Sus scrofa: one gene and its partners. The protein of the gene in region 2 interacts with the protein of the main gene of each other region in a pairwise test. Links are inferred from orthologs where the notes say so. Each region holds a gene or a part of one and is shown on either strand. Other genes may lie near its edges.

Evidence for each region.
Region 1: the proteins of RAB6A (region 2) and PMM1 interact in binary tests that used the Homo sapiens proteins (3 or more experiments, as listed by UniProt). The two-hybrid records come from large-scale screens. The link is inferred for Sus scrofa from reciprocal best matches to the Homo sapiens genes RAB6A and PMM1.
Region 3: the proteins of RAB6A (region 2) and BICD2 interact in binary tests that used the Homo sapiens proteins (3 or more experiments, as listed by UniProt). The link is inferred for Sus scrofa from reciprocal best matches to the Homo sapiens genes RAB6A and BICD2.

The regions. Positions count from the first base shown.
Region 1 is NC_010447.5:6,961,696-6,971,576, forward strand, and holds the start of PMM1 (phosphomannomutase 1), read left to right. Parts: upstream 1-3,303; 5' UTR 3,304-3,635; coding exon 3,636-3,722; intron 3,723-6,083; coding exon 6,084-6,201; intron 6,202-8,269; coding exon 8,270-8,346; intron 8,347-8,468; coding exon 8,469-8,560; intron 8,561-8,730; coding exon 8,731-8,830; intron 8,831-9,881. UniProt on the Homo sapiens protein: Involved in the synthesis of the GDP-mannose and dolichol-phosphate-mannose required for a number of critical mannosyl transfer reactions. In addition, may be responsible for the degradation of glucose-1,6-bisphosphate in ischemic brain.
Region 2 is NC_010451.4:8,193,637-8,203,375, reverse strand, and holds the start of RAB6A (ras-related protein Rab-6A), read left to right. Parts: upstream 1-4,163; 5' UTR 4,164-4,787; coding exon 4,788-4,857; intron 4,858-5,153; exon of another isoform or gene 5,154-5,590; coding exon of another isoform or gene 5,591-5,612; intron 5,613-8,536; exon of another isoform or gene 8,537-8,556; coding exon of another isoform or gene 8,557-8,584; intron 8,585-9,739. UniProt on the Homo sapiens protein: The small GTPases Rab are key regulators of intracellular membrane trafficking, from the formation of transport vesicles to their fusion with membranes.
Region 3 is NC_010445.4:42,451,477-42,461,549, forward strand, and holds the start of BICD2 (protein bicaudal D homolog 2), read right to left. Parts: upstream 5,346-10,073; 5' UTR 5,174-5,345; coding exon 4,934-5,173; intron 1-4,933. UniProt on the Homo sapiens protein: Acts as an adapter protein linking the dynein motor complex to various cargos and converts dynein from a non-processive to a highly processive motor in the presence of dynactin.

The DNA of each region.
Region 1 (9,881 bases), on a different chromosome or scaffold from region 2:
TGCTGCCCTTGACCCCTTGCTATAAAACTCCTCACAAATCCTCTCAGGTTGGGACACACCGATTTTGAAGGCATGAACCTGCTGTGCCTGCTTTGCCTGGCAAAGCAATAAAGCTCTTCTTTCCTACTTCACCCAAAAGCCTGTCTCCAAGATCCAGTTTTGCATCAGTGCATGAAGGCTGGGTTTCAACAACATGAGTCACACAAAAACAGATATCTCGAGTTAATTATTTTAGTGCTTTTCTGTATATGGGAAGATGCAAGAGTCTGGGCTCATTGAAATTGTTCCTTAAAAATGCATCTTAGGAGTTCCTGTTGTGGCGCTGCAAAACGAATCCGTCTAGGAACCCTGAGGTTGCAGGTTCAATCCCTGGCCTTGCTCGTGGGCTATGGATCCCATATTGTTGTAAGCTGTGGTGTAGGTCACAGACGCAGCTTGGATCCTGCGTTGCTGTGGCTGTGGTACAGGTTGGCAGCTGTAGCTCTGATTCAACCCCTAGCCTGGGAACCTCCATATGCCGCCAATGCGGCCCTGAAAAGCAAAAAACAAACAAACAAACAAAAACTCTGCCAATCTCCAATGCATAGAATATTTCCTGTTTTTCTCTATCCTGAATTTCCCTCAGGGCCCACCATGGGGGTGGGCTGCAGGGGTAGATGGTGCCATTCTTCTAGAACTGGAATGCCAGGCAACATTCACGTTCCACAATGATCTCATAGTCTTACTAGATAGGGATTCAATCTTTTATATAAATGAAGATGCAAAGGAAGGCAACCTGTCCAAGTCCGTAGTTATCAGGGACATAACTGTCCTCCATTCTGCCTCCAGTGATCTCCCAGGGTACCATGGCAACTGAGATGGAAAAACAAACAAGCCAACCAAAAAGCATGATGCACAACATTGCCACTCACTCATAGGTACGTGGATGTATGTGTCTCTGTAGGATCAGAACGGCCAGAGTTGATCAGAGGCATCAGGGTAAGGATGGTGGATGTGGCAAAAATGCCTGCTTACCCAGGCACACTGGCAAACTGGAGGGCAACCCCTGGGAGTAGAGAGGGAAGTAGAGGTGGGCCTTTGTCTCTGGCTTCTGGTAGAAGAAACAGACAATCTTTGAGGGGAGAAAGCTATAGCAAATGCAGCATAATACCAACATCCAGGGAGAGCCTGCTATTTTTTCCATTAGAAAAGTAGGATTGGAGTTCCCATCATGGCGCAGTGGTTAATGAATCCAACTAGGAACCATGAGGTTGCGGGTTCAATTCCTGGCCTTGCTCAGTGGGTCGAGGATCCGGTGTTGCCATGAGCTGTGGTGTAGGTCGCAGACGCGGCTCGGATCCTGCGTTGCTGTGGCTGTGGTGCAGGTTGGCAGCTGTAGTTCCGATTCAACCCCTAGCCTGGGAACCTCCTTATGCCGTGGGAGCAGCCCTAGAAGAGGCAAAAAAAAAAAAAAAAAGAAAGAAAGAAAGAAAAGAAAAAAAAAGAAAAGTAGGATTATGATCTTTTTTTTTTTAAGTAAAAAAATTTTTTTGTTGTTGTTGCTTTTTAGGGACACTCCAGGATTATGCTTTTTCCATGTTAAATATTCTACAACATAGGTGTTTTTTTTTTTGCTTTCCTTTTTTCTGCTTTTTAGAGCCGCACCTGTGGCATATGGAAATTCCCAGGTCAGGGGTCAAATTGGAGCTGTAGCCGCTGGCCTATGCCACAGCCACAGCAATGCCAGATCCTAGCCAAATCTGTGAACTACACCAAAGTTCGTGGCAATGCTGGATCCTTAACCCACTGAACAAGGCCAGGAATTGAACCTGTGTCTTCATGGATACTAGTTGGGTTTGTTACCTATGAGCCGCAACGGGAACTCCTAACAACACAGATTTCCAAGTCCTCACAGCAATTCATCTTACTGATGGATCATAATTTAACTGATCCCCAATTTTTTTTCTTTTTTTCTTTTTCTTTTTTTTTTTGGCCTTGCATGCTGAAGCTCCCAGGCCAGTGACCAGAGCCACAGCAGTGACAACACCGAATCCTTAACCTACTGAGCCACCAGGGGACTCCATCCTTTTCTTATTTTCTAAAAGCTGAATTGCTGGCTCAAAGGGTCTGCACATTTTTTGTTTGTTTGTTTGTTTTTTAGGGCCGCACCCACTGGCATATGGAGGTTCCCAGGCTAGGGGTCAAATCAGAGCTACAGCTGCTGACCTAGACCACAGCCACAGCTCCGCGGGATATGAGCTGCATCTGCGACCTATGCCACAGCTCAAGGCAATGCCGGATCCTTAACCCAGTGAGCGAGGTCAGCGGTCAAACCTGAGTCCTCACGGATACTAGTCGGGTTTGTTAACCTCTGAACCACGACAGGAACTCCAGGGTCTGCACATTTTTAAGAGTGGACATGCAATAGCTGTTTAATCAGTAACAGTATCAAGCACATTTATACACATTCTTTGGAGAGGGCCTGCTCTGTGGGATCTTTTCTTTCTTTTCTTTTTCTTTTTTTTCTTTTTAGCACCACATCTGTGGCAAATGGAAGTTCCTAGACTGGGGATTGAATAGGAGCTGCAACTGCCGGACTAGGCCACAGCCACAGCAACTTGGGATCCAAGTCGCCTCTGCGACCTACACCACAGCTCATGGCAACCGCCAGATCCTTAATCCATGGAGCGAGGCCAAGGGTGGAACCCGCCTGCTTTTGGATACTGGTCTCTTTGAAACCAGCTGAGCCACAATGGGAACTTCTATTACTTCTTTTGAAGTGCAAAGCAACCCTACAAAGTAGGTGGTGTTTTTCCCATTTTACAGAGGGAAACAGGTAAAGAAGTCTTAGAGAGGTGAAGGGACTTGTCCAAACTCACGTGGTTGGTGAAGCTGGGAAGACTATTTAGAACTGACTCCAAAGTCAAGGTGATGGTTAAATAGTTGTGAATAGAGAGGAGTCCAGGTAAACCATTAGCTGTGCTTTATGGAGTGGACAGAATGACAGCAGGAGTAAGGGTCGGAGAAGGTCATCTGGCAAACCCCAGAGGCTGAGCAAAGGCCATCAGCGGATTTCTTTAAGCTCATGATTTGTAGGTCAAAGGCATTAGTGACCGGGCGAGTCCTAGATTGACTGGCAGCGGGGAGAGTTGTGGGAGGGTGGCCCCCCCCTACACACACACACTCCCCCGGATCTCCCCACTCCCACCCCGGACTCTGCACTGCCGCTCGAGGCTCCGCCCTAGTCCAGCCCCTCCTCGGCCAGTTGCAATCAGAATCACCCCGCCAAGGGCCAGCCCTGGCCCCGCCCCTCCCTTCCGGGTTCTTTCCCTCACTTCCCGCCGGACCCAAGTCAGACCCGGGCCCAGGCCCAGCCTCCATCTGGTTTGCAAAAATCCGAAGGACCCTGCCGGGCTTTGCTCCGCCCTATGCTACGCCCCTTCTCCGCCTGGTACCATCAGAATTAACCTCCCGAGTGAGCTCAGGCCCCACCCCTGCCCGGTACCCCGGGAGAACGTGCCCTGGCCCCTCCCCCTCTTCTCTGGGCGCCGTCCGGATGGCCCCGCCCCTCCCAGGCCCCGCCCTGTCTAGCGTCTTCCCCACGCGGCTCCGGCGGCCGCATCCTTCGACTCAGCTCCGTGAGCTGAGCTGCAACCATGGCGGTCACCGCTGAGGGCGCCCGTAGGAAGGAGCGCGTCCTCTGCCTGTTTGACGTGGACGGTACCCTCACGCCGGCTCGCCAGGTAGGGCCTCGACGTTCAGAAGCTCCTGTTGGGAGTGTCACGCGGACACCTGGAGGCCGAATGTGTGGCCTCCAGCAGCGTGACCCCAGATCCCCCGGGACTGTGTGTGAGATGCCGGAACACACCCGGCCCCTGACACCCCAGGGCCGCCCTCTGGGAGTGATGGGAACCCGGTTCCCCACGTCACAGGCCCCGAGCGTCCGTGCCCTCGTTCTGCCTGAGAGCGAGGGGGGGTGGGTCGGATTCTGGAGGGAGGAAGTGAGCGGGGACCTGGTCCCTCCGCCGCCAGGCCTGGCTCCACGCTCCCACCTCCCCAGCAGTGACTCCCACCCCAGTTCCAGCCCAAAGAGGCACCAGTAGCCCGATGCTGGCTTCTGAACCTAGGGTTCCATACAGGGGCTCAGTGCTCCCAAGCGTTGGAGTCCCAATCGGGCGGGGGCCGGGGGTGGGGGAGTGTCTCCGAGCCAGCCCACCGACCTTTGCAGACTTGGGCCGCGTCTGGTTTCTCAAGCCCCTCCTCTACTTTCCCTCCCTCCCAGGCCCATCCCCCTCCTCTTGGAGGGAAGGAGGGCTTCTGTACCATTTAGGCAGAGTTTTGGGGCTTCGCCCACTTGGAGGGAGGGGCTCGTCTGGTCACCATGGGAATCTTGTGGTACCGGGTGGGCGGGAGTGCAGTTTCCCTTCTAAAAGCATCTCACCAGGTTGATGCTCCAACCTCTGCTCCACACTCAGTTTTTCTCCCTTCGGGTCTCACCCAGGATGAGCCCCCAGACCCGCCCTCACCAGGTGGGTTCATGGATGAGCAGGCTCTTTCTTGCCCTCCAATCTGGGTCCATCAGGACCTCCTGAGGAGTCTCCTAGAGCAGGGAGCCAGTAGAGGTGGGTTGCCTGGCAGAGGCTGATGGGCAGCCAGGTCTTAGTCTCCCCTCCCCTTTGTGAGGGCCCTGGGCCAGCAAGAGGAATCAGGCCACCTCACCTTCCAGCAGCTCCCTGAGTCCTCAGGGATGCAAGGAAGAAGACAGTGGAGCGAGGGTAGCAGGGCTGAGGAACAGTGTCCACCCCTCCCTCTGACCCTTAGCTCCACTAACCTGACAGCCTGAACAAGAACAGTGGCACTGCTGGATCTGGCCTTAGCACTTTTTAAAAGTTAATTTTTAATTGTACACGTACTCGTGAACACGTTCTCTTGTAAAGAATGAAAACAGAACAGAGAAGGCTGAAGTCCCCTGATTAGTCAGGATCCCAAGCCCAGCCTCATCCCCAAAGTTGTGAGGTTTTCAAAGTGCGTTTGATTGTTTTTAATAAGTGGTATCATACTGTGTGTGTCTTTCTGCAGCTTGCTTTTGACAATAAACAGCGTGTCTTGGGGCTCTTCCGTGTTGGAAGCACAGTCCTGCCTTATTCTGTTGTGGCTGCAGTATAGAATTTCAGTGCAAGTGTGTGCCATTCTCTAACTGACTAGCTTATTTGTCTGCAGTTTTCTTCCTGTTATAAACCCTACCCAGTGAACATCCATAATGCACCTGCACAATTCCATAGACGGGGTACTTGCATTTTAAGTTTTAATAGATCCTGCCAAATTACCCTCCAAAGTAGCTGTACCAGTTTACCATCTCACCAGCAACTTGAGAGTGTTTGTGCTCTGTCCGCTCTAGATGTTGTCAGCTTTGAATAACTGAATGTTTGGAAACACGGCTTACAACTCATTAGTTTACACATTTCCTTGACAGGGAATCTTTTCAAGTGATGAGTCACTAGTCAATTGCTTATTCATTTCCAAACACCACCTCATTTAAGCCTTCACAGTGACCACCTCCAGGCAGTTGCTACTATGATCCCCATTTTAGAGGTGGGACAACTAAGGCAAAAAAAAGGCAAAGCCGGAGTTTCCATCGTGGCTCAGCGGAAACGAATCTGACTGGTATCCATGAGGATGTAGGTTCGATCCCTGGCCTCACTCAGTGGGTTAAGGATCCGGTGTTGCCGAGAGCTGTGGTGTAGGTCACAGAGGCAACTTGGATCTGGTGTTGCTGTGGCTGCGGTGTAGTCTGGCAGCTGCAGCTCCCCAGTTAGACCCCTAGCCTGGGAACTGCCATATGCTATGGGTGCAGCCCTAAAAAGACAGACAGACAGACAGGAAGAAAGGCAAAGCCATTTGCTTAAGACATCCTGCTCCTAAAGGACTTGAGCCTGCTTTTGAACCCAAGTGCATCTAGTTTTGAGATCTGGGTTCTAAACCTTGAACTGCCTCAGATGTAGGTGGAATGTGGGCTCCCAGGATTCTGAACCCTGAGTGAGATCTAAGTGGAGGGCCCAGACAGGCTGACAGTCAGAATCTCGTGCTTTCCTGTCCCCCTGCAGAAAATTGACCCTGAGGTGGCTGCCTTCCTGCAGAAGCTGCGCAGTAGGGTGCAGATCGGCGTGGTGGGCGGCTCCGACTACTCTAAGATTGCCGAGCAGCTGGGAGAGGGGGATGAAGGTAGGAGGGGTGGGCCAGAGCCAGCTTCAGGTGGAGGGAGTGGGACTTTGGGAGATTCCCTGGAGCTGTGTGCCTTCAGGGACCCCACCCTGCTTCAGGGAAAAGGAAGTAGAGTAGCAGCCAGATAGTTCCCTCGGTGAGTCAGCTATTATGTGGTGAGCACCTACTGTGTGCCAGGCACCCTGAGGGGCTTTGGAGAAACAAGGAACAAAGCGGACAGAATCCTGCCCTTCCATTGTTTATGCTCTCAGTTCTCCCTGAGCCTTGATTTCCTCATCTTTAAAATGGGCTTGGAGTTCATGTCCTCGATCAGCGGTAACAGACACAACTGGGATCCGTGAGAACGCAGGTTTGATCCCTGGCCTTGCTGAGTGGGGTAAAGGATCCAGTGTTGCTGTGAGCTGTAGTGTAGGTTGCAGACATGGCTCAGATGTGGCGTTGCTATGACTGCGGTGTAGGCCAGCAGCTACAGTTCTGATTTGACCCCTTGCCTGGGAGCCTCCATGTGCCGAGGGTGCAGCCTTAAAAAGCAATCAATGAAATAATTAATAACTAATTAATTAAATAACATGGGCCTAATCAGGGAGTTTCTGTTGTGGCTCAGTGAGTGAAGAACTTGACATAGTGTCTATGAGGATGCAGGTTCGATCCCCAGCCTTCCTCAGTGGTTAAGGCATTGTCCTAAGTTGTGGCATAGGCCAGCAGCTGCAGCTCTGATTCAACCCCTAGCCTGGGAACCTCCATATGCCACAGGCATGGCCCTAAAAAGACCAAAAAAAAAAAAGAAGCACATAATTAATAATGGCTACCATTTGTTGAGAATGACCATGTGTTAACTTCTTTCATTTAATATTCATAATTTAGGGTTGATATGATTATCCCTTTTATTTTCTTTTTTTAAAATCCTATTTAACAGAGGAGAAATCTTTTTTTTTTTTTTTTTCCCCTAGGGCTGCACCCGCGGCATATGCAGGTTCCCAGGCTAGGGGTCTAATTGGAGCTGTAGCTGCGGCCTACTCCAGGGCCACAGCAAATGGGGATCCAAGCTGCATCTGTGACCTACACCACAGCTCACGGCAATGCTGGATCCTTAACCCACTGAGTGAGGCCAGGGATCGAACCTGCAACCTCATGGTTCCTAGTCAAATTCCTTAACCACTACGCCATGAGGGAACTCTAACAGAGGAGAATTCTGAAGACAGCCAGGACCCAGAGCCCCTTTTCTCAGCTGAGTTCCCAGGTTCAGCTCATTTAGGCAAAGGCCTCCAGGTCCTCAAACCAGAGACTACCTTGACTTTTCCCTCCCCTCTTCTTTGTTTTGTTTTCTTTTTTTTCATTTTTGGCCACCCCACGGCATACAGAGCATCCCTGGCCTGAGCCGCAGTCTCCACGCAAGCCGACGCTATGGCAATGCCAGATCTTTAACCCACTGTGCTGGGCTGGGGGGATCAAACCCGCGTCCCAGCGTTCCCAAGACGCTGCTGATCCCGTTGTACCACAGCGGGAGCTCCCACCCCTTGTTTATTCTTCAGCAAGTCCAAAACTTTCTCCCTGTGTCTCCATCTCCACTGCCCCATCATAGTCCAGGCGGGCACCTGACTCTGCATCAGCCTCCTGGCTGAGTTCCCGGCACCTCCCCGCCCCGCCCCCTCCAGCCACTTCTTGTGTTGGTCAGAGCTGGTTGGTCCCATGCAGCCAGTCTTGAGAACACAGTGATGGAAGTTGTAAAAGAAAAGGGAAGCCCCTGTGCAGAGGGGCTGCAGGAACGCAGAGCAGACGTGGCATCCTCTCCCAGGAGGCCCGGGGGGGCTTCCAGAGGAGGCGCTGGATCCTAGGGAAGGAGTGGAGGAGGACGTCCCAGCTGGGGGAGCTGCGTGAGCAGGGCCCAGAGGTGTGTCTGGCTTGAGTGCTCGTTTGGAAAAAACCAAGCTGCAGAAGGCAAGGAGGCTGGAAAGCAGGCTGGGGATGGAATGGCAGCCCAGGGAATGGGGCTTCTTCCCTCTCCTTGGCGCTGGGCACCTGGTCTCACACTCTTTCTTTCTCCCCTGGCCTCTGCGTGGCCCTGAAGTCGTCGAGAAGTTTGATTATGTGTTTGCTGAGAACGGAACCGTGCAGTATAAGCACGGACGACTACTGTCCAAGCAGGTCAGTGTCCCCCAGGGCCTTAGGACACTTTTCCACAGTGGGATTGTCCTGGGGGCTTCTGACCGGGGCGGGCGGCGGGGTTCCGTGCCCACCTCCCTCAGAGCCCTGTGTTCCTTGCCCAGACCATCCAGAACCACCTGGGCGAGGAACTCCTGCAGGACTTGATCAATTTCTGCCTCCACTACATGGCCCTGCTCAGGCTGCCCAAGAAGCGGTGAGACCCCCGCCCCGCCCTGTGTCCCACCCCTCCTGGGCCTGGGCGGGGAAGGGTGGGACTCAGAGGGGCCCTGATTGCCGGTGGGTGAATTCCTGTCTCCTGGATTCCAAGTCAGGCCCGTCTCCTCCCTCCGGCTCCCTGCCCTCCCCCCTCCCCGCCCCCACCAGGGGAACCTTCATCGAGTTCCGGAACGGCATGCTGAACATCTCGCCCATCGGCCGCAGCTGCACCCTGGAGGAGCGCATCGAGTTCTCCGAGCTGGACAAGGTGCCACCCGCTGTGCAGAGCTTGGGCGATAGGCCCTCAGTCACGCAACCCTCTAAGCCTTTACTTTCTCATCCGTGGAGAGGATGGGGGCGGGGAATGCGGGTTCTGATTCGACCGGTGCCCTGATGCACGCCTGCCCTGCGCTGTGGTGCCAGGCACTTCTGCGTCTTCCCCGCACCACTGGTTCCTTCCCTTGGTGACGAGCATCACCAGCCACCTACCAACCTAAGCCAAGACCTTGGGCAGCATTTCCTCCTGCCAGCCCATCAGGTCCAACAGTGATTCCTGGCGTTTCAGCCTCCAGAGTTGGTCTTAGATCCCTTCGTGTGTGTGTGTGTGTGTGTGTGTGTGTGTGTCCCCGACATGAATGAAACCCTGCCAGTCTGTGCTCCAGCAGTGCCACGGAGAACCTTCTGAAGCACATCTCTCTGGCCCTGTCCCCTCCCGGCTTACAATCCTTCCATGGGGCCACTTACCAACTGGACAAGGTCCCGGTCCCCTCCCGTGGGTCCCTGAGCCCTGAGGGGTCTGCCTGGCCCAAGCCCACCTCTTGAGCTTTCTCCCATGCATCTCTTGGTCCCTGGGACACACCAAGGTCCCTGTCACCTTTGTGCTGCCCCCACTAAACCTTGACTTGCCTTTTTTTTTTTTTTTTTGCTTTTGATTTTTAGGGCTGCACCCGTGGCATAGAGAGGTTCTCAGGCTAGGAGTCTAACTGGAGCTGTAGCCGCTGGCCTATGCCACAGCCACAGCAACATGGGATCCAAGCCGCATCTGCGACCTACACCGCAGCTTACAGCAATGCCGGATCCTTAACCCACTGAGCAACGCCAGGGATCAAACCCACAACCTCATGGTTCCCAGTCGGGTTCGTTTCCCCTGCGCCATGACGGGAACTCCCCTTGACTTGCCTCTTGCTTGTCCCCACCGCACACTGCTCCCTTTCGGGGATGGAGCCAGTCCGGCAGGCCTTGGCATACCCGCCCCTGTCTGTCCAGCTCACCGGCCCACCCCAACAATCTGCTCTTCTCCTGATTCCAGAGATAGCAGC
Region 2 (9,739 bases):
TTTAAGGACTTATTTTTTATGATTAATTAGGAAGTATTTTTTTAACTTTTTAAAATTATAGTTGTTATAATATGCCAATTACTTCTGTACAGCAAAGTGATCCAGTCATATATTCCTATATATGTATATTTTTCTCTTATTATCTTCCATCGTGGTCTATCATAAGAGATTGGCTATAGTTCCCTGTGCTACACAGTAGGACCTCATAGCATATCCATCCTAAATGTAATAGTTTGTGTCTACCAGTCCATTCCTCTCCCTCCCCTCTCCCCGTTGGCAACCACAGTCTGTTCTCTAAGTCTGAGAGTCTGTTTCTGCTTTGTAAATAGGTTCACTTGTGCCCTATTTTATTTTTTTTTATTTTTTTAAATTTTTATTTATTTATTTTTTTTGCTATTTCTTGGGCCGCTCCCACGGCATATGGAGGTTCCCAGGCTGGGGGTCTAATCGGAGCCGTAGCCACCGGCCTACGCCAGAGCCACAGCAACGTGGGATCCCAGCCGCGTCTGCAACCTACACCACAGCTCACGACAACACCGGATCGTTAACCCACTGAGCAAGGGCAGGGACCGAACCCGCAACCTCATGATTCCTAGTCAGATTCGTTAACCACTGCGCCACGACGGGAACTCCTTGTGCCCTATTTTAGATCCATCATGTAAGTGATATCATATGCTATTTGTCTTTCTGATTTCACCTAGTATGAGAATCTCTAGTTGCATCTATGTTGATGCAAATAGCATTATTTATTCTTATGGCTGAGTAGGAGTCTATTGTATATATGTATCACATCCTAACCCATTCATCTGTCAATGGATATTTAGGTTGTTTCCATGTCTTGGCTATTGTGAATAGTGCTGCAGTGAACCCAGGGGTGCATGTATCTTTTTTCCCCCCTGTTTTATGGCTGTGCCTATGGCATATGAAAGTTCCTAGGTTAGGGGTCAAATCAAAGCTGCAGCTGAGGTCTACACTATGGCCATGGCAACTCTGGATCCAAGCCACATCTGTAAACTGTGCTGCAGGTTGCTGCAATGTTGGTTCCTTAACCCACTGAGAGAGGCCAGGGATTGAACCCCCATCCTCATGGATACTATGTCGGGTCCTCAACCTGCTGAACCAACCACAATGGGAACTACATGTATCTTTTCGAATTATAGTTTTGTCCAGATATATGGCCAGGGGTGGGATTGCTGGATCATGTGGTGGTTCTATATTTAGTTTTCTGAAGAATCTCCATACTCTTTTCCACAGTGATTGTAGCAATTTACATTCCCGCCAACAGTGTAGGAGGGTTCCCTTTTCAACTTGGAAGTATTTTTAATACCAGTGTTTAAAAGTGGAGTTATTGTGGCTCAGGGGTTCCCATTGTGGCTCAGGGGTTAACAAATCCCACTAGGAACCATGAGGTTGTGGGTTCGTTCCCTGGCCTTGCTCAGTGGGTTAAGGATCCCGAGTTGCCTTGAGCTGTGGTGTAGGCTGCAGACGTGGCTTGGATCCTGCGTTGCTGTGGCTCTGGCGTAGGCTGGCAGCTACACCTCCGATTAGATCCCTGGCCTGGGAACCTCCATATGCCACGGGAGCGGCCCTAGAAATGGCAAAAAGACCAGAAAAAAAAAAAAAAGAAAGTGTCCTTTTCAAAGATAAGTATTGCTTTTTCAAATGCTGTCCCATATTATGGTTAGTTGTGGCTGAAGTATGGTAAGGTGTGGATGCTGAAGTCTCTAATTTGATAATTTTTTTTTTTTTTTGGTCTTTTGTCTTTTTGTTGTTGTTGTTGTTGCTATTTCTTTGGGCCGCTCCCGCGGCATATGGAGGTTCCCAGGCTAGGGGTTGAATCGGAGCTGTAGCCACCGGCCTACGCCAGAGCCACAGCAACGCAGGATCCGAGCCGCGTCTGCAACCTACACCACAGCTCTCGGCAACGCCGGATCGTTAACCCACTGAGCAAGGGCAGGGACCGAACCCTCAACCTCATGGTTCCTAGTCGGATTCGTTAACCACTGCGCCACGACGGGAACTCCTAATTTGATAATTTTTAACATTTATATTTTTTAATAAATTTTTTTGAGTTTTATATTAACAGAAAAATTGAGCAGATGGTAGAGAAAATCTCCATAAACCTCTCCTCAGCCCAGTTTCTTCTATTATTAGTATCTTTTGTTGTTGTTGTCTTTTTGTCTTTTTAGGGCTGCACCTGCGGCACATGGAGATTCCCAGGCTAGGGGTCCAATCGGAGCTGTAGCTGCTGGCCTACACCACAGTCACACCAACGTGGGATCCGAACTGAGTCTGTGACCCACCCCACAGCTCACAGCAATGCTGGATCCTTAACCCACTGAGTGAGGCCAGGGATCGAACCCGCAACCTCATAGTTTCTAATTGGTTTCGCTCCTATTATTAGTATCTTATATTAGCATGATACATTTGTTACAATTAATGAAGCAATATTGATATATCACAACTAAAATCTATATTCAGATTTCCTTAGTCTTTGCCAAATGTCCTTTTTCTGTTCCCGAATCCAATTCAGGTTAAAACTTAAAAGTTTAATTATCATGATAGTTATATCCATATTACACTTAACTGTCATGTCTTTGTGGGCTCCTCTTGAGTGTGACATTAACCTTCATTCTTGGGGTCATGAACTGGGTTGAAAAATCTGATGAAAAGTATGGATTCTGTCCACAGAAAAATACACATATTGTAGACGTGTAATTTAAGGTAGTTCCACCAATAGCAGATTCAAAAGGGATTTGAATCCTTTAGGAGGACTGGGTGATCTTTAAAATGTCCACTTCAGGAGGGAGTTCTCACTGTGGCTCAACAGTAACAAACCTGACTAGTACCCATGAGGACTTGGGTTCAATCCCTGGCCTCACTCAGTGGGGTAAGTATCTGACGTTGGCATGAGCTGTGGTGTAGGCTGCAGACTCAACTTGGATCCCGTGTTGCTGTGGCTGTGGCGCAGGCCAGCTGCTGTAGCTCTTGATTTGATCCTTAGCCTGGTAACCTCCACATGCCACGGGTATGGCGCTAAAAAGCCAAAAAAAACAAAAACAAAAACAAAAAACAAAAAAAACCCCAATAAATAAATACAATATCTACTTCAGGAATTCCTGCTGTGACTTAGTGGGTTAAGTACCCTGCCTTGCCTCTGTGAGGATTCGGGTTTGATCTCTGGCCTTGCTCAATGGGTTACGGATCCTACAAAGTGGAAACCTCCAGGGTAGATCTCAGAAGCAACTAGGATCTGGTGTGGCTGAAGCTGTGGCATGGGCCTGAATTTACAGCTCCAATTCGACCCCTAGCCCAGGAACTTCCATACGCCACAGGTGTGGCTGTTAAAAAAAAAAAAAGCCCACTTCATCAGGGGCATGCTCTACCACGAATTTGTTGTGTGACCTTTTTGCAAACTTGTTTTCCTACCTGAGCCTCAGTTTTACCCTATGTTTACATGATATCTAAATCCTTTTCGATCACAGTAGAAGGTGGGCTCACCTGGGCTGGCCCATCTGAGGAAGAGAGGTTGCTAACAGAAGGCCAAGCCACATCAGGCCAAGGATGGTCTTATCAACTAGCAGGTTGCAGAAGTTCAATGGGGGAAAAAGACAAAACCTGGCTTCAATTTTACTGTTCTGTGGGTTTTGTAAGTCATTTCCTTCCTACGAGCTTCAGTTTCCTCATCTGTAAAAACGTGGAGGCCCTGCTTCTGGTAGTTATGAAACTCCTGGGAGCAGGAGTGGAGAATGTACCTAGGAGGGTATCATGGCAGGAATTATAAGAAGAGGTTGGAGAAGGTGGGGGCATAGGTGAAGTGGGGCTCGCAGGAATCTGAGGCAGGGCTAAAGGCTCAGAACTAGGAACCTTCTAAACACCTTAGTACTCTCTGACTTCATCCGCTCTTGTAGGGGTCAATTCCACCTCCACGCCGGCCCCGCCTCCACCCCGCTTCTCTCTGTTCTCCTCCCCTCAGGCTCGGACGCGCCACACTACACATGGCCGCCACTGTGAGACACTTTCCACCGCTCGAGGGCAGCGAGCGCGCTCTCGCGCCGCCACCTCATTCCCATCCTTGCCCGCCCTTGACCTCTTCCGATTGGCTCATCGTATAAGTGACGAAAGCGCTCCTTACTCCACCCTTTGGGTTCCTCCAGGCTCCACCCCACCTCCCCGCTTCTCCCGACGCGAGCGTACACCTAACCACCCCCGGTCTCCGCTGCCGCGGAGCCGGGAAAGCAGGCTAAACCAGGAAGACGCCGTCTGTGGCGCGCACGCGCACGCACGCACGCACGCACGCTGGGGCTGGCGGGGCGGCAGGCTCGTGCCCGGGCTCGCCCCGCGCCGCGCCACAGGCTCGCGCACTCAGCAGGTTGGGCTGCGGCGGCGGCAGCTGAGGCGCTGAAGCGCTGCGTGTGAGAGGTCCCAGGCGCGTCTGCGGCTCCGGCTCCTCCGCCCTCACCCCAGCCTCCGAGCCGGGTGCTGAGAAGGGAGCCGCTCTGGCCTTCGGACCCCTGAGCACTCCCCTGGCTGCTTCCGACACCGCCTTCGTTCCCTTCCCAGCCTCGGGCCTCGCTCGGTGCTAGGCGGCTCTGAGGGGAGGCGGCGGCGACGGCTGCCTGTCTGTGTCGAGGGGCCCTGCCCTCCGGTCTTGCTCCGCTCCGGGCCCTGCAGCGGCCGAGAGAGCTGGGCGCCCGCCCATTCTCTAGCCTCTCCGTCCACTGCTTGGAGCCGCGTCGGTCCGGGAGGTCTTTGGGCTGAGGCGGCGCAGCTCCTCCGGCTCCATCATGTCCGCGGGCGGAGACTTCGGGAATCCGCTGAGGAAATTCAAGCTGGTGTTCCTGGGGGAGCAGAGCGGTGAGTGCGCGGCTCCCCCACTCCTGGCAGCTGGCCGCGGCTTCCCCGCACCGCCCCCAGTGCGGCCCTTCGGCCGCGGAGGCTGCTGCGGCCCTCGCGTTCGCCCTCCGCCCCCTGCCCCGGCCCCGCGTCGGCCGCCCCCTCGTCGCCCCCCGTGCTTCCTCGCCGCGATCCGTCGGGCGGATTTTGCCCCTTCTGGCCCCGACTCCGCCGGCTCCTCTCCCCGCAGCCCGGCCCTCCCCTGTCGACGTGCCCTCCCCAGTCCTCACCCCGCCCAGCCTCCTGTCCATCCCTTTCTTCCTCCGGTCTCCGTCGTCTCGCCAGCTCCCGCTCCCTTCCTTGAGCCCCACCCTTGTTCCTCGCTCTGATCCCGGTCGGTCAGCCCTGCGAGGCCCACCGGCGGGACCCGGCTCTTTGGAACCTCGCGCCGGGAGGGGGGATCTGGGCGTTGTTTTCCCCAGAGGCTTGGCCCTGAGAAGTGCAGATCTTCTGGAAGGTGGAAAGTGGGGAGTCCTAGAAAATTCTTGGATTGTTTTCACCTGGGTGGGGGGTTGGCCTGGGTTCCAGAGGGTCCACGTCGGCCTTGGAGGCGACTTGAGGATGGAGTGGTGGGGGAGTGAGGGAGGGGCGGCGGCAGTGGCGATTTTTACCCGATGGGCTAGGCTGCGGCTTGTTGGAAAACCTCGTTTTCTTCTCCTGACTTTCATCCTTGACGATCCTTTTGGCCGCGTGGATGCTTTTCCAGTCTCTGCCAGGTGCTATGTCATGATCGTTTTACTTGGAATTTTTCACATCTCACCTCTCCTTTTTCTGTTTTAACACGAAGCGGGGTCTGATTCTCCTCACAGTGGAGCAAACAGGAATTACTGGGGAAATGCTAATTATTCCATTTCTTTTTGAGTATTTTCCAATGATAGATTGAGGATTCCTGTGAGAGAAGGCTTTAGGATAACGAACATCTTTGTTTTGTAGGATTTCCTTTGGGGTCAGGGAGTAAGAGAGAGAGAAGAGATGGGTTTTTCATCTGGTTATCTAAGTTAGATAAATACATGATACCATTTTGGCGAAATGCTTCTTTTATGGTTAATATTCCACTGTATCTGATGAGTAAAATCATTTGTTTACCTGACCATGCTTCTGCCGTCATTGTACTTTGTGTTAGATAAAGGTCCTTACTTTGTGTTAGATAAAGGTCCTTATTTTGTGATGGCTGCTGTCTCTAAAATTACTTCTTGTGGTAATTCCAATTTTATGCTGTGTTATACACACTTCATACTCTGCAGTTTAGAGGTGATCACCCTTCATTGTTTTTCTCTCACTTTTCCTGGCTGTCTTTAAAATTGAGACAGTGAGAGATTAGTTCTTACGAAGTCATTAGACATTGTTATCTGTTAGGTGTTTTAGGTTAGGCTATAGAAGACATTTATTTCTTTTGATTGGGAAGAAGATAACTGATGTTAATTCAAGGCTTTTGTTACTACTTTGAACTATTTACACTAATTTGTGTGACATTAAAGTAGGTTAATAATAGTTGCAAAATTGCTTCCAATTAGACCTGAGAAATCATTTTTCTCCTTTCATACATAATTTTTTTCTCCTTGTTGTCTTACCAAGTTTCCTCTTTGTTTATTTTTTCTGAATTTGTTTCTTTAAGTAACTTGAGACCTGTGAGGTTGATCCTTGTCCAGGTATTATAACAATTTTAGGGCAGTGCCATTCATAAAATATAGCTATTGGTCATTATTGATAGGATAAGTGCTTATTGTGCACTCTAGGGATGTTTTTGCCTGCCTGATGTTGTGATGCAGAGATATTTAGTTTGCATGAAAAATCTCCATCCTAGGAAAATTTTAGTATGAATAGTCATAACTTAAGTATCTGCAGGTTTCCTTTGAATTTCTTGGGTATTTACTTCTAATTCTCATTGCAGAGTTTTATAGCTTCTCATTTCTTAACTTCTTTAAGTCTTTACTAAATCCCCTTCCTGCCAATTCCTGAAGCCATCTTAGATTTTTTTAAAAGTAAACTCAATTTTGTTAGAACAGTTTTAGATTTACATAAAAATTAAGATAATGCAGAGAGTTCACATAGAGTCCCACCCAATTTCCCTTATTATTAACATCTTTCATTAGTATGGCACATTTGTTACAATTAATGGACCAATATTGATGCATTATTAAGTAAAGTCTCTAATTTATTCAGATTTTCTTCATTTTTATCTGTTTCTGTTCCAACATTCAGTTCAGGATACCACATTACTTTATGGTTGTCTTTCTCCTTAAGCTCCTCTAAGTTTTTTTAAAATTGTGTTTGCATGCTTTTTAACTCGGTGGAACTGTGAGGTTAATTATCTTTGAGGCTGCTATATTGCTAAGTAATGTCATCCAGTAGCTTCGACAATGAAAGATTGATCTCTTTTCACAGGCAGTGTCTGTAGTGTTCTTATGCATTAGCAAAGGTCTGTAGAATCCATGTCATCTAGATGTAACTCTTCATGAATTTTTTATTTTTAGGTTTTGGAATTCCACAATTCAGCTTTCAAGACCAATCTGTGGCAAAGCTTTGTCTTCTTAATAGCATTTACCACATTTATAATTCTTATTTTTTTGTGTTTTTTTTTTTTGTGTGTGTGTGTGTTTTTGCCTACTTCGCACAGCAGAATGCAAATCCCATGTGATTTAAAAACTATTATTTTTTTGTTCATTGTATCCCTGGTGCCTAGGATAGTGCCAAGCTTGGAGCTGTACTCAGAATGAATGATGGTTGAATCTAATAGTAACCAAAGCTAGTAGTCATCTTTGCTCTGGTGAAGTCTATGTTTTTTTTTTTTTTTTTTTCTTGTGCAATTAATAATATAACAATAACATTTTATACCTACTTTATTTGACTGTATACAGGGATACTCCAGATGCCCAGGGCACAGGGAACCCAATAATTTATAGCCTTTACCATGTCACTAAAAAAAAAAAAAAAAAGACTGACTAGAATTTTATACCTTTTTTTGAGTTGAACAAAATTAGGTTTGTTAAAACTATTGTTAAATTATTTGTTACTGGTATAGCACCTAAAAGTATGTCAATTAAAGCCATGTTCATGGAACAGATTTGAAGTTAGGTAGACTGTTTAATTTAGTTTTTCAAAAATTTAACATTCTTTGATGAATGAAGATGAATTATTTCAGTATTTGAGGCCTCATTAAATTAATGATATCAGTCTTAGTAATCTTCCTATAAATTCTTATGGTTTATATTTTAGCAGTATACATGGTTTAATAAAAGAGTGTTGGAATATACAACTTGAATCTGAAGTTTCTTTGAGGAACCTCTTTGGTTGCTATTTTTGGGTATTGTCTTGAAATCAGAGGCATTTTTAGGAATGTCATTCATGGTTTACAGCAGAAGATATTTCTATAAACAAATGTTATGAGTTACAAATTAAGAAATATAATCCCAAAGAGAAGCACATATTTAGGCCTAGTGCTGCTTATTTTTTTCACTTTATATTACCTTTTTTTACATCAGTCCTGTATTATAATTATATTTTTATATATATTATATATATAATTGAATTAAAACATGGTATGTAGGAAAAAAGTGTCGTAATGTCAGATACCAGGAATACTGAACAGTTTATATTGTCTGGATCAGTAATCCTAAACTTTTTTTTCCCCTCAGGATCCTGTTACGCTCTTATAAACTGATGAGGCTTCTAAAGAGTTGTTTATGTGGTTTGTATCATTATTTACTGTGTCAAAAGTTAACTGAGAAAGTTTAATTCATTTAAAAATAATAGTGTTAGATCTATTATATGTTAACAGAATCATTTTTAATGAAAGAAAACTATTTTTCAAACAGATTTAGTGAGAGTGGCATTGTTTTACATATTTGCAAATCTCTGTTAGTTCTGATGTATTAGAAGACATCTGGCCATAGCTGCTTCTGCATTAAATCTCTTGTAATATCACACATCACATAGGCTCTGGGAAACTCTGCTATATACTCATGAGAGGATGAAAATAAAAAAAGTCAAGTATCATCTTGATATTATGAAAATGGTTTTGACCTTCAGGAGGGTAGTGGGCCCAGCCAAAGGGCCCTGGGAATCCTGGGAGTCATTCAACCACATTTTGAGAACTGCTAGGTTCTAGATGATATTAAGCCATCTGTATCTTGTAGCTTTGTATTGCATTTAGAACAAAGGAAATTTTTTCCAACCTAGTTTTGAAACCTTAAAATTAATCAGTAGAGCTAGTGATTAAGAGCAGAGTCTGGATTTCATGATTTAGCCCTGATCACTGACCTTGGGCAAATTATTGACCTCCTTGTTTTAACTTCCTTAACTGTAAAGTAATAGGACCTATCATATAGAGTTATTGTAAAGATTAAATTACCTAATAAATGTAAAACATTTAGAAGAATGTCTGGCACATGGGGAGTTCTTAGTAAATATTTTAACAAATGTTTACTGAAAACTGCTACTGTCAAGTGGTTTGGTAGCGCCTACTCTTAAGAAATATCTCATCAGGAAAGAAATATGTAATACTTAACACACTGTAGTGTGATGAGTGCAGCTGCTTTAAGTAGAGTTGAAAGTTACAAAGAAGTGGAATTCCCATTGTGGCTCAGTAGAAACAAATCTGACTACTATCTATTAGGATGCAGGTTCAATCCCTGGCCTTGCTCAGTGGGTTAAGGATCGAGTGTTGCTGTGAGCTGTGGTGTAGGTCACAGATGTGGCTCAGATCTGGTGTTGCTGTGGCGTAGGCCGGCGGCTACAGGTCCTGAATCGTCCCCTAGCCTGGGAACCTTCATGTGCCGTGGGTGCCCCCTGCTCCCCCAAAAAACCCCCAAAAAAAATACTTACAAAGAAGTGACTGGGAGCA
Region 3 (10,073 bases), on a different chromosome or scaffold from region 2:
CCAGCCCCCGCCTACTAGCCACCTTCACGTCACTGTCTAAGAAGAAACCAGGAGTTCCCTGGTAGCTCAGTGGGTTAAGGATCTGGTATTGCCACTGCTATGGTTCTGGTTACTGCTCTGGCAAAGATTTGATCCCTGGCCTGGCAACTTCTGCATGCCAAGGGTATGGAAAAAAAAGAAACCAAATCTTTCTTTACCTTTGACATGTGCAGTGGCCCTTTTACCAGTGTATAGATGTAGAGAAGCGGGTCTGATTAAAGGGTAGCTGCCCCAAACTCACAAGGGTAAGTTCCTCCTTCACAGAAAGGGGTCAGGGTCCCTGAAGTGGGAAGGCCCAGCAGAAGCCTGTGTCTACCTGGCCCTGGCTCTCTCTGAGGCAGCTACTCAGACCCGGGGCCTCAGCCACCATGTGCCCATGTGCACTAGGTACACCAGCCTGATCCTCAGGACAGAGGCACTCCTCCACGGCCACACAGGTCCAAAGGGCCCAGGCTGGGTCCAGTTGCTCCCCTAGAACCAGAGAGGGACAACAACGGCTCTGGTCAGAACAGGAAGCGCCTCCTTGCCTATCCAGGCAGCGCCACACTCATGCCTGGCCTCCCTCATGCACCAGTTGTGGAAAGGCAGCTCTTTCACAGCGCCCAGGCCACACATCCGAAGCCACACCCAAGAACACTGATGTACACAGCTGCTTGCTCCTCTGCTCCAAGTTCTAGGGTGGTCCAGATGAGCATAATCCTTACAGGATTTAGCCAAATGAGGACTTTTCCTGCCCTAAAGCAAACACTTGATGAGACTGGGCCTTGCACAGAGGCCTCCTCCTCCACAAGTGCCTGCCCTCTTGGGGAAGAATGCCTAGGCTCACAGCCTTGAGTGGAACACAACTTCTCTGTGCCTCAGTTTCCCCAGAAACAGACATAACAAAGTGGTGACCCTAAGGGCTGGTGGGAGGACTGCAGGAGTTGGTGGGGCATGGGGAGTCTAGGGCAGGAGCAGCTCCCCCACAGGGGTGAGGCCTGAGGGGCCCTCCTCAACAACCCCCGCCCCCCGCCACTGCCCCATGAGCTAGCTCCTGGCAGTGACTTCTACAAAGGTATGGACAGGAATCTGGTGTCCAACAGCCACTTACAGCTCGGTCTGAGCTACAGGACCTTCCTCAGTCACTTACACCCATCCTGACCTTGGCTGCCCCATCCTCTGAGAGAGGAGACTACAAGAGGGACGGGAATGAGGGAGGGAAGAAGACAGAGCAGCTGCTCCCCCCAGCTCTGCCACAGTTCTTCAGGAGGCTGCTGAGCCTACACATGGGAGGGACATCCGGAGGTTGGGAGCTGGCTTAGGTAAGTCCAGAGGTGGCGACCAGAGGAGGCTTTGAAAAGCGTCCAGTCCTTTAAGGGCAGGCGGGGCTTTCAAGATCCAAGACTGGCAGGGTGAGGACAGTAAAAGCAACCAGGACAAGGGGGAACAGGCTGAGCCAGGCCAGAGGCCCCAGGCAGCAGCTCAGGCCACCCTCTGGGAGACACAGTGGGGCCACGCCAAACCTCAAAAGAACAATGAACAGAGACAAGGTGACTACAGAGACAGCAGGGAGGGGATCCAGGCCTGGGTGAGATGGAGGGAAGGAGCTGATGACACCAGCTAGCAGAAACTTATTGAGTAAGCACTTACTATATATCCTGGGCACCAGTTCCAGCCTGTGACAGGCTGCAGCTCACCAAATTCCACCTGCACTGATAAGACCCCAAAGCGGCAGAGAAGAGAGCAAGGGCATCCATACCTCATCTTCCTTCTCTCTCTGGGAGCTGAGCAAGGGTGGGGCTGAGACTGCACCAGGACCCCAGCCACTGGCCTGGGGCATGCTCTCCAGCCCTCACATTCCCAACCTACAAGAACCACCCACTCATGGTACCTGCCCAACCCCCCCCTCCCAAGGCAGGAACTGTCAGCCCAGCACACCTGCCTTCTTGAAACTGCAGCTGAGGACACAGGGTAAGATATTCCACTGCTACTTAGGAAACACCATACGGCGCAAAATCTGTCCAATTCTCTTCCCCACCATGCTGGGAAGGGGGTATAGAAGAACTTGGGGCAGATGGGGACATTATTAAGCCAGAATGAGTCACCAGCAAAATGGTTAGACAAAATGGGCCAGTGGGTCCCTGCACACACCCTGGTTTCAGCAGGACACACACACTCACCAAGTGAGAAAGACCGCAGGGCCAGCACCACTGCCCACTGGCTCACGGAATCCTCCTCAGGTCTGGTCACAAACCCAATGACCTGGGACTGGCCAGTCAGCTTCCCCGCTTCAAAGTCAGTATTATCCACAAATGCTAGGCAGGGATGTAGGCGCCTCCACTTGCAGGATAATTTTTAGTAACTGAACCCAGTACAGTTGAAGAAATAAAGTTTTAAAAGAATGAAGATGGCTCATCTCTCTACAGAAAAATAATTTTAAAAAAAGACATTGGGGAGTTCCCGCTGTGGCGCAGTGGTTAACGAATCCGACTAGGAACCATAAGGTTGCGGGTTTGATCCCTGGCCTTGCTCAGTGGGTTAAAGATCAGGCGTTACCGTGAGCTGTGGTGTAGGTCGAAGACGTGGCTCAGATCCTGTGTTGCTATGGGTGTGGCATGGGCTGGTGGCCCCAGCTCCGATTAGACCCCTATCCTGGGAACCTCCATATGCTGCAGGAGCGGCCCAAGAAATGGCAAAAAGACAAAAAAAAAATTAAAAATAAAATAAAAAAATAAAAAAGATATTGGTTAAATCTTGATTTTTCAAATAAGAAACAATACTTTCAAGAATAATATTAGAAAAAATTAGAGAGGTTGACAAGGGTTTGAGTAAACTGGTACAAGCTTTCCTTAAACATCTACCAAGACTGTGATGCACCTTCCTGTAGCTTCTGCTGGGATTTCCAGCTGAACGGTTCTTATCCTACCTGCCACAGAGGAAACCAAAGTTCAGGAAAGTGGGATGTGTCCAAGGCCATGTAGCCAGTGTGTGAGGGAGCCAGGAGGTAACATCAAAAGAAGCAAGCAGACACCTGAAGAACACCTGTGCAAACTGATACAGTGTCTTCCCAATCCCCCTGGGGACCCACCCTCCAGACACACCCTACAAAACTGAGTCAAGATTCTTGCACCAGCCAAATGTGTGTAACAGTAAAGAGCTGACAACTGAAAGATTCCTAAGCAGGAGTAGCTAGCTCTGTGTGCAATCTTCCCTTCTGGTCTATTCTTACAGGGGATACCAAGTCAAGCTTGTGAACACAGAAGAGGACTGTGCATGCTGCCTGTGGGGGCTTGCTATGCACTCTGGGGGTGGAGGTGGGGGGGGGCTGGGTTCACCAAGGAGCTGCAGAGGGGGTGAGCCTAGGGTGCTCCCACTCCATAGTCTCAAGATCCCCTCAGCCCCCCTTCTTGGGCGCATTCCCCTACTTCACACACCAAGATGAGGCCCCTGCTGGAGAGGCCAAATGTCGCCCCTCTTGAAGATCTCAGAGGAGGCACCAATATAGGACCTGGGGTCCATGAGCTCCCTCACCCCCACTCCCATACCACATCAGTCTTCTACGGGTACTAACCGGGCACCTGTTCGAACAGGCATAGATTTAAATACCTTCATGAATTAATTCCCCTGCTATCAGAAGGGGACCAACTGGTCTCCCTCATGAAGCATGGAGGCTCAGAACAGTCCAGGCACCTGCCTAGAGCCACTGGAGTGGGGTGCTGGGAAGTGGGCAGCTAGGGAAGCAGCAAGCATGGTGGATCCTGAGGCCAAGGGGCCAAGGGTCCCTCTGGAAAAGGGAATTGTCAAGTGGGGCAGGGGCAGGCTCTCACAGAAACTGACAGGCTAGATGCCTGACACCTTGCCCGGACTTTTCAAATATCCCTCAGACCAACCCCTTCTGGGTGGGATGCTACAGAGCAAGACACTAAGGCCCCTGCTCACAGCCACACCTCCAGGAAGGGAAAAGGTTTCGGTCCAAACCTAGGTGTTTCACTCAGAAAGCAACTTCTTCCTCCCCACCTCCACAACAAGGCTGGGGAGTCAGGGAGGACTGGGAGAGAAAAGGATGTTTAAATCACCCATGAGAATTACTTTGTGGGAAGGCTGCCTAGCTCTCTGGCTGCAAGATTCTCTGGCCACCTTGGGATCCACCTTGCAGATCTCCCAAGTGTATATCGCACAGGAGACACAAGGCTCTATCAATGACAAGCATCCACAGACCTGTCACCCAATTGCAAGGAAGGGCCTGAGAAGGCAGCCAGGACAGGAAGTGGACAAAGGAAGCACTGTATCCCAGAGAAGTAACTAGTGGGGAGGTCAGAGAGAGCTGAGCACGGGGAGGGACAGTGGGGTAGTCCAGGCAGTGGCCACATGCAAAGCAAGCCCCCGACTTGGCCCTGGTATGGCCTCACAGCGTTCACGGAAGACTGTGAGACCGCTGAAGGCGGCTGAGTCCAGATGAAAGAAGTAATGTGCCTGTCCTTCCCCAGGCGGTCACCTGTGTCCATCCCATGCCCCCACCCAGAAAGCCAAATACCGCAAAGGACGCCACCCCACCGTGCCCAAGACCTGGCATCAGGAGCCTGTAGACAGGCTGGCCACACGGCCCCACAGCAGCCCTTGCCACAGAGACCAGAATTTCTACAGCGCGCACTGCCCACCACATCTGGGGCCCGCCCCCCACAGCAGCGCAGCCTCCGACCCAGGGCGCCCCAGTGCTGGCCTGAAAGGCCTGGGATATGAGGTCGGTTCGGGGGTCCGCCTGTCCCGGGGTCGAGGTCAGTTTGGCCTGGGTCGGAGGACAGCTCTGGGGTCGGCGCTGACGTCTGTCTGACCCGGGGGTGAGGAGTCCGGGTCGGGTGTGGGGATTGGCCGGGGTGGGGGCGCGGAGGGCGTGGCGGCGGCCGCCCTTCCTTACCTCCTTGAGCTGCTCCATCTCGCTGCGGATAGCCTCATAGTCCACCTCAAGCTCCTCAAACTGTAGTTTTAGCTGATGCTTCTCCTCAAGCACTGCCAGCCCGTACTCGGCCGCCTGGATCTTCTCACGCGTGGTTTCGGCCAGCTCGTGCGACAGCCGCTTCACCTCTGCGCGCAGCCACTCCGGCTGCGCCTCCATCACGAGCCGCGCGTACTCCTCCTCTTCGGACGACGCGGACATGGTGGCCACGGCCGGGGTCGTGCCACTCCCTCCGAGGCTCAAGCCCGGCTCCCGCCCGCCGCCCCTGGAACCGCCGCCGCCGCCACCCAGCCCGACGGCGCCCGGGCCACCGCCGCTGCCGCCGCCGCCGCCACCACCACGCAGCCGCAGTAAGCTCGCTGTCGCGCGGGGCACTGTGGGGACCACAGTCCCGCCCGCGGGAACTACAAGACCCGACGTGCTTCACGCGCAGTCTTCTCCCGCCCGTGATTGGCCTGCGCCCTGTCCCGGGCCGCCCCGTCCCATGCTGTCGCCTCCGCAGCCGCCGCGCGGGGCAATGTGGGGTACGTAGTCCCGCTCGCCCACCGACTACAAGACCCGTCGTACCCTACGACCGCCAGCCCTCGCCCGCGATTGGCCTGCGCAGCTGCCGTCGCAAGGCCGGAAACTGATATTTTTCCGGTGCCCCCAGCGGTACTTACGAGGCTAGGGTCGGCGGTGCGCTGGGTGGCCGGGGTGGCCGTGGACTGCGCTGAGCGGTGGGTGGGTGGAGCCGGGCACGGTGCTAACCGCCGTGAGTGGAACGCCCGGCGCGGCGGGGGCACCGCGGGCGGGGTGGCTGTGAGGACAGTAATCCGGTGGCTCAGACAGGCGAGGCCAGCCTAGCCCAGGACGTATTTAGTGGAAGATATGGTCAAACCGCTAGCAGTAGAGCCCACCTTCGCCTCAAATAAGTACGAAACGCCTCCTGCTTGTTTTCTAAGAATTAGGCATTTCCATGCGCCCTAGGATTATCCAGGTCACTGCAGTGGCCTCGAATCAGAGACGCGTGGCCAGCCAGCGTCGCGTCCCTGCCCTACCCTTGTAGCATGGGTTCTAGTTAAGTCCTTACTCTCGCTCAGGCTGGGAGACTTTCTCCCTCTTTGTCTCTTTGACCTTGATCTTTCTGAGGCATGCAAGCCATAAGTGTACACACCGATGCATCCCCATGGTTAGATTAGGTTATGCACTTTGGCAGGAGCATCAGGGTGCTAAATTCGCAGAATCCTGTCAGGAGGCAAGGGTATTCCTTTGTTATTACTATCCTATGAGAAGGCAGTTTAGATTTTGCAACTATCCCGTCACTCCTCAAGCTCTTGAAATTTTTATTGAGGTATTCTTGATTTATGATACATGAGTAAGGTGTACAACACAATGATTCACTATTTTTAAAGATTGTGCTCCATTTATAGTTATTATAAAATATTGATTATATTCCCTATGCTGTACAATATATCCTTTTAGCTTAAGTATTTTATAATTTGTACCTCTTAATCCCTTACTCTTATTTTGCCCCTCTCGCCTTTCCCTCTCCTCACTGATAACTACTAGTTTGTTCTCTTTATCTCTTTATCTACTATTAAAAGTGATAACATATACTATTTGTCTGACTTATTTAGTATGATACACTAGGTTCATCCATGTTGTTGCAAATGGCAAAATTCCATTTTATATATATACACCACATAATCTTTATTATCTGTTAATGGACATTTAGGTTTCTGTAACTTGGCTATTGTAAATAATGCTGCTATGAATATTGGGGTGCATGTATCTTTTCAAATTAGTATTTTCCTTGGATATATATCCAGGAGTGGAATTAATGGATCATATGATGGTTCAATTTTTAGTTTTTTGAGGAACCTTCATACTGTTTTCCACAGTGGCTGCACCAACTTAACATTCCTACCAACAGTGTACAAGGGTTCTCTTCTCCATGTCCTCACCAACTTGTTATTTGTGGCCTTTTGATGATGGCCATTCTAGATGTGTGAGGTGATATCTCATTGTGGTTTTGATTTGCATTTTTTTGATAACTAGCAATGTTGAACACCTTTAAATGGGCCTGTTAGCCATCCATATATCTTCCTTGGAGACCTTCTATTCAGGTCTCCAGCCTATTTTTTTAATCGGTGGTTTGTTTTTTCGATATTGAGTTGTATGAGTTCCTCAAACTTTCTACCAGTTTCCATTGATATTTCTTGCCTAAATGAATTACCATTATACTTTTTTTTCTGTTTTCATCATTCCTTCTGTACTTATTCCACTTCGTCGAAAGATATTTCATTCATTAGTGGTATGGATTTGTGGGTTCTTATTTTACCTAATGAGTTACAATCCATTACTCTCCTTATTCACTTAAATGTTCAAATATGGCACATGTGGCCAGTAGGAGCTCGTCCAGCTGGCTCTGTGTCCTTTCAACATGCCATGATTTTTGAGCATTTTCTGACTTTCTAGCAAAGTTGTTCCAGTATTGTCTTGTACTCTCTGTCCCAGACCTGGAATCAACCATTTCTCCAAGGAGCCCTGATTCCTTTCAGTGGTTTGATTTGTATGAGGAAAAACTGGCATAATTTTACTTGTGAAATTTAAAAAAATTCAGCAGGTTAAGGATCCGGTTTTGTCACTGAAGCAGCTTGGGTCACTGCTATGGCGTGGATTCCATCCCTGGCTTGGGAAGTTCTACATGCCCCAGGTATGGCCAAAAAAATTCAATAAAAATTTTAAATTAAAAAAAAATTGTAGGGCAATACTCCTACCCATAGTAGGAGTAGGATGTCCAGTCAGCCTGTCTGACCTGGCTTTTGCACAGAGAGCACCAAGTCCTAGGAGACCATCAGGCCTAGGTGCATCATTTAGTCTAAGTGGGTGAGATCATAGAGGAAAGCAGGGAGAAGGAACAAGCCTTGTTTGAGCAAGGTTAACGTGGGAGGAAGGAATGGTGAGAAGTGGTGGCCCCTTCTGACCCAAGCTGGCCAAACTCAAAACCCTGCCCCCTCCACACCTTCATGTGGGGTTGGCCTGAGGAGGGAGAGGGGGAAAAGGCTGTGGGAATCTGGTGCAGGCATTGACCGTGGAGCTTAAAATGGAAACAGAGTGATTGTGGAAGGGGACAAGCAGTGATTCTCCTAGGTGCTGGGGACAGAGGGCCTGTCACCAGAGGAGCCATGATGGGTGATAGTGTTGGGAGGACAGGCATCAGGACAGGGTTTAGGAGACCCAAAGAATGCATAGAAAGTGGCTGGTCAGGCTGCTGGTATAAGGGATTGGCAAGATAGGAAGCAGGGCCACTGCTTGTTAGGATCCAACTAGGCCTCCAATATTGCCAGTTACTTGACCTCCATCATCTCATTGAATCCTCCCAACACCCCAGGAGGTGGGAATTATGCTCTCTGATTTACAAAAGAGGAAACAGGCTCAGGACAAAATTCTTCCCACCACCTTGGACTTCTTACACCCCTCATTTGATCTGCCAATCTGTATGTAAATGACAGATCCAGCCTCAGCCTCCAGCCCTCCCAACTGTGGTTCCCTCTGTAGCTTGAACCTTATTGCCTTCTACCTGAACTATTTACTCACTTCCCCACTAGCCTTCCCCCAACCCCCTCACCCTATCTTTTCTCTCACAGCAGCAGAAGGCTCTTCAGACCCAAGGCAGGTCACATGCCCTTACTCAAAACCCTTTTGGTATTTTCAGGCTGTTAAAATAACACCACAATTGGGAGGCTTATAAGCAAGCCTTATTTCTCAAGGTACTAGAAGTCCAAGATCATGGTGCCAGCAGATTCAGCATCTAGTGAGAACCTCCAGTGAACCCGCTTCCTCTTCTCTCACATGGCAGGAGAGGTGAGGAGCTCTCTGGGGCCTCTTTATAAAGTCAATCATTTCCTCATGGGGACTCCAGCCTCATGACCTAATCACCCTCAAAGGACCCATTGTTCCTAACATCCTCACCTTGGGGGTTAGCATTTAACATGTAAATTGTGAGGGCACAAACCTTAAGATCACAGCCCCCTCCCAGAGGCACAGGCTGATTATCTCCCAGACCCTGCCCAGTCTCTGGAGTGGCCCTTCTGCCCTCCTGGCTTGCTCCCCTTCCTGGCTTTATCTTCCTCCATGGCATCCTATACATTAAAGTTACTCATTTTTGCACTTTTGTCTTACCTTGAATATCAGCTCCAGGAGGGACCATGCCTCAGAAGTCTCCTGACCGACACCAGGGGCTCAGGACACCAGTGGAGACCGCCCGTACTTACTATCCCCCACTCCCTGGACTCTACACCCCTCCCTGGGATGGACAATATGAGGGAATGGAGGCAGCTTTGGCAGACTGGGATGCCAGAGAACATCCATGGTGCCCCTCCCCAAGAACAACTGGGTGACCCTTGGCCTAGGGACAAAGGTAAGTGATGTTGTTATGACAGATACCCAGCAGCCCTGCGCTGCAGTGTATCAGCTCTGGCGACAGCCCCATGGCTATAGCGTACCAGCTCCAGCAGCTTTGCGGCTGCAGTGGATCAGCTCTTTTACCCGGCGAGAAACCAAGCGAGCACTCGGAGAGTTGGAGAACTCAGTTTTATTACACTGGCGGGCTCAGAGGAGATCACTCTCCAGAGTCTGAGCCTGGAAGAAGGGTTTCACAAGGCTTTTATGGGCTACGTCTTCCAGGTCCAAGCTTGACTAGTTGGACTGGAGTGACGTCAGGCAAGGTAGTAGATGCGGAAGCAGATGCATGGGGGAGGACTGGTTGGGGCAGTTGGCTAGACTTTGCTTAGTCATCACGGCTGGGGTCTCTCCTTTCTACATTTTATTGGGACATTTTCTCCTACAATGTCCTCTCAGAAACTCTGCCTTCATAAGTGAGGACTGCAGGTCCCCACTCCTCCCATTAGGGGTAAAAGGGCAAGATGTTCACACATACAAGTGTCCAGGCAGGGAACTGGCCTGGGTTTGGCTGCTTTGGTAGCCTTAATGCTCCCTTTTTTGCTATTTGCTTGGGAGCTCTGCATGCCCACATGAGCCCCTCCTCCTTCCAGTATCCTATCACCTCTCTGCCTGTGGCTATCTAGTTGTAGGCCAAGGAACAAAGCCATCTGCC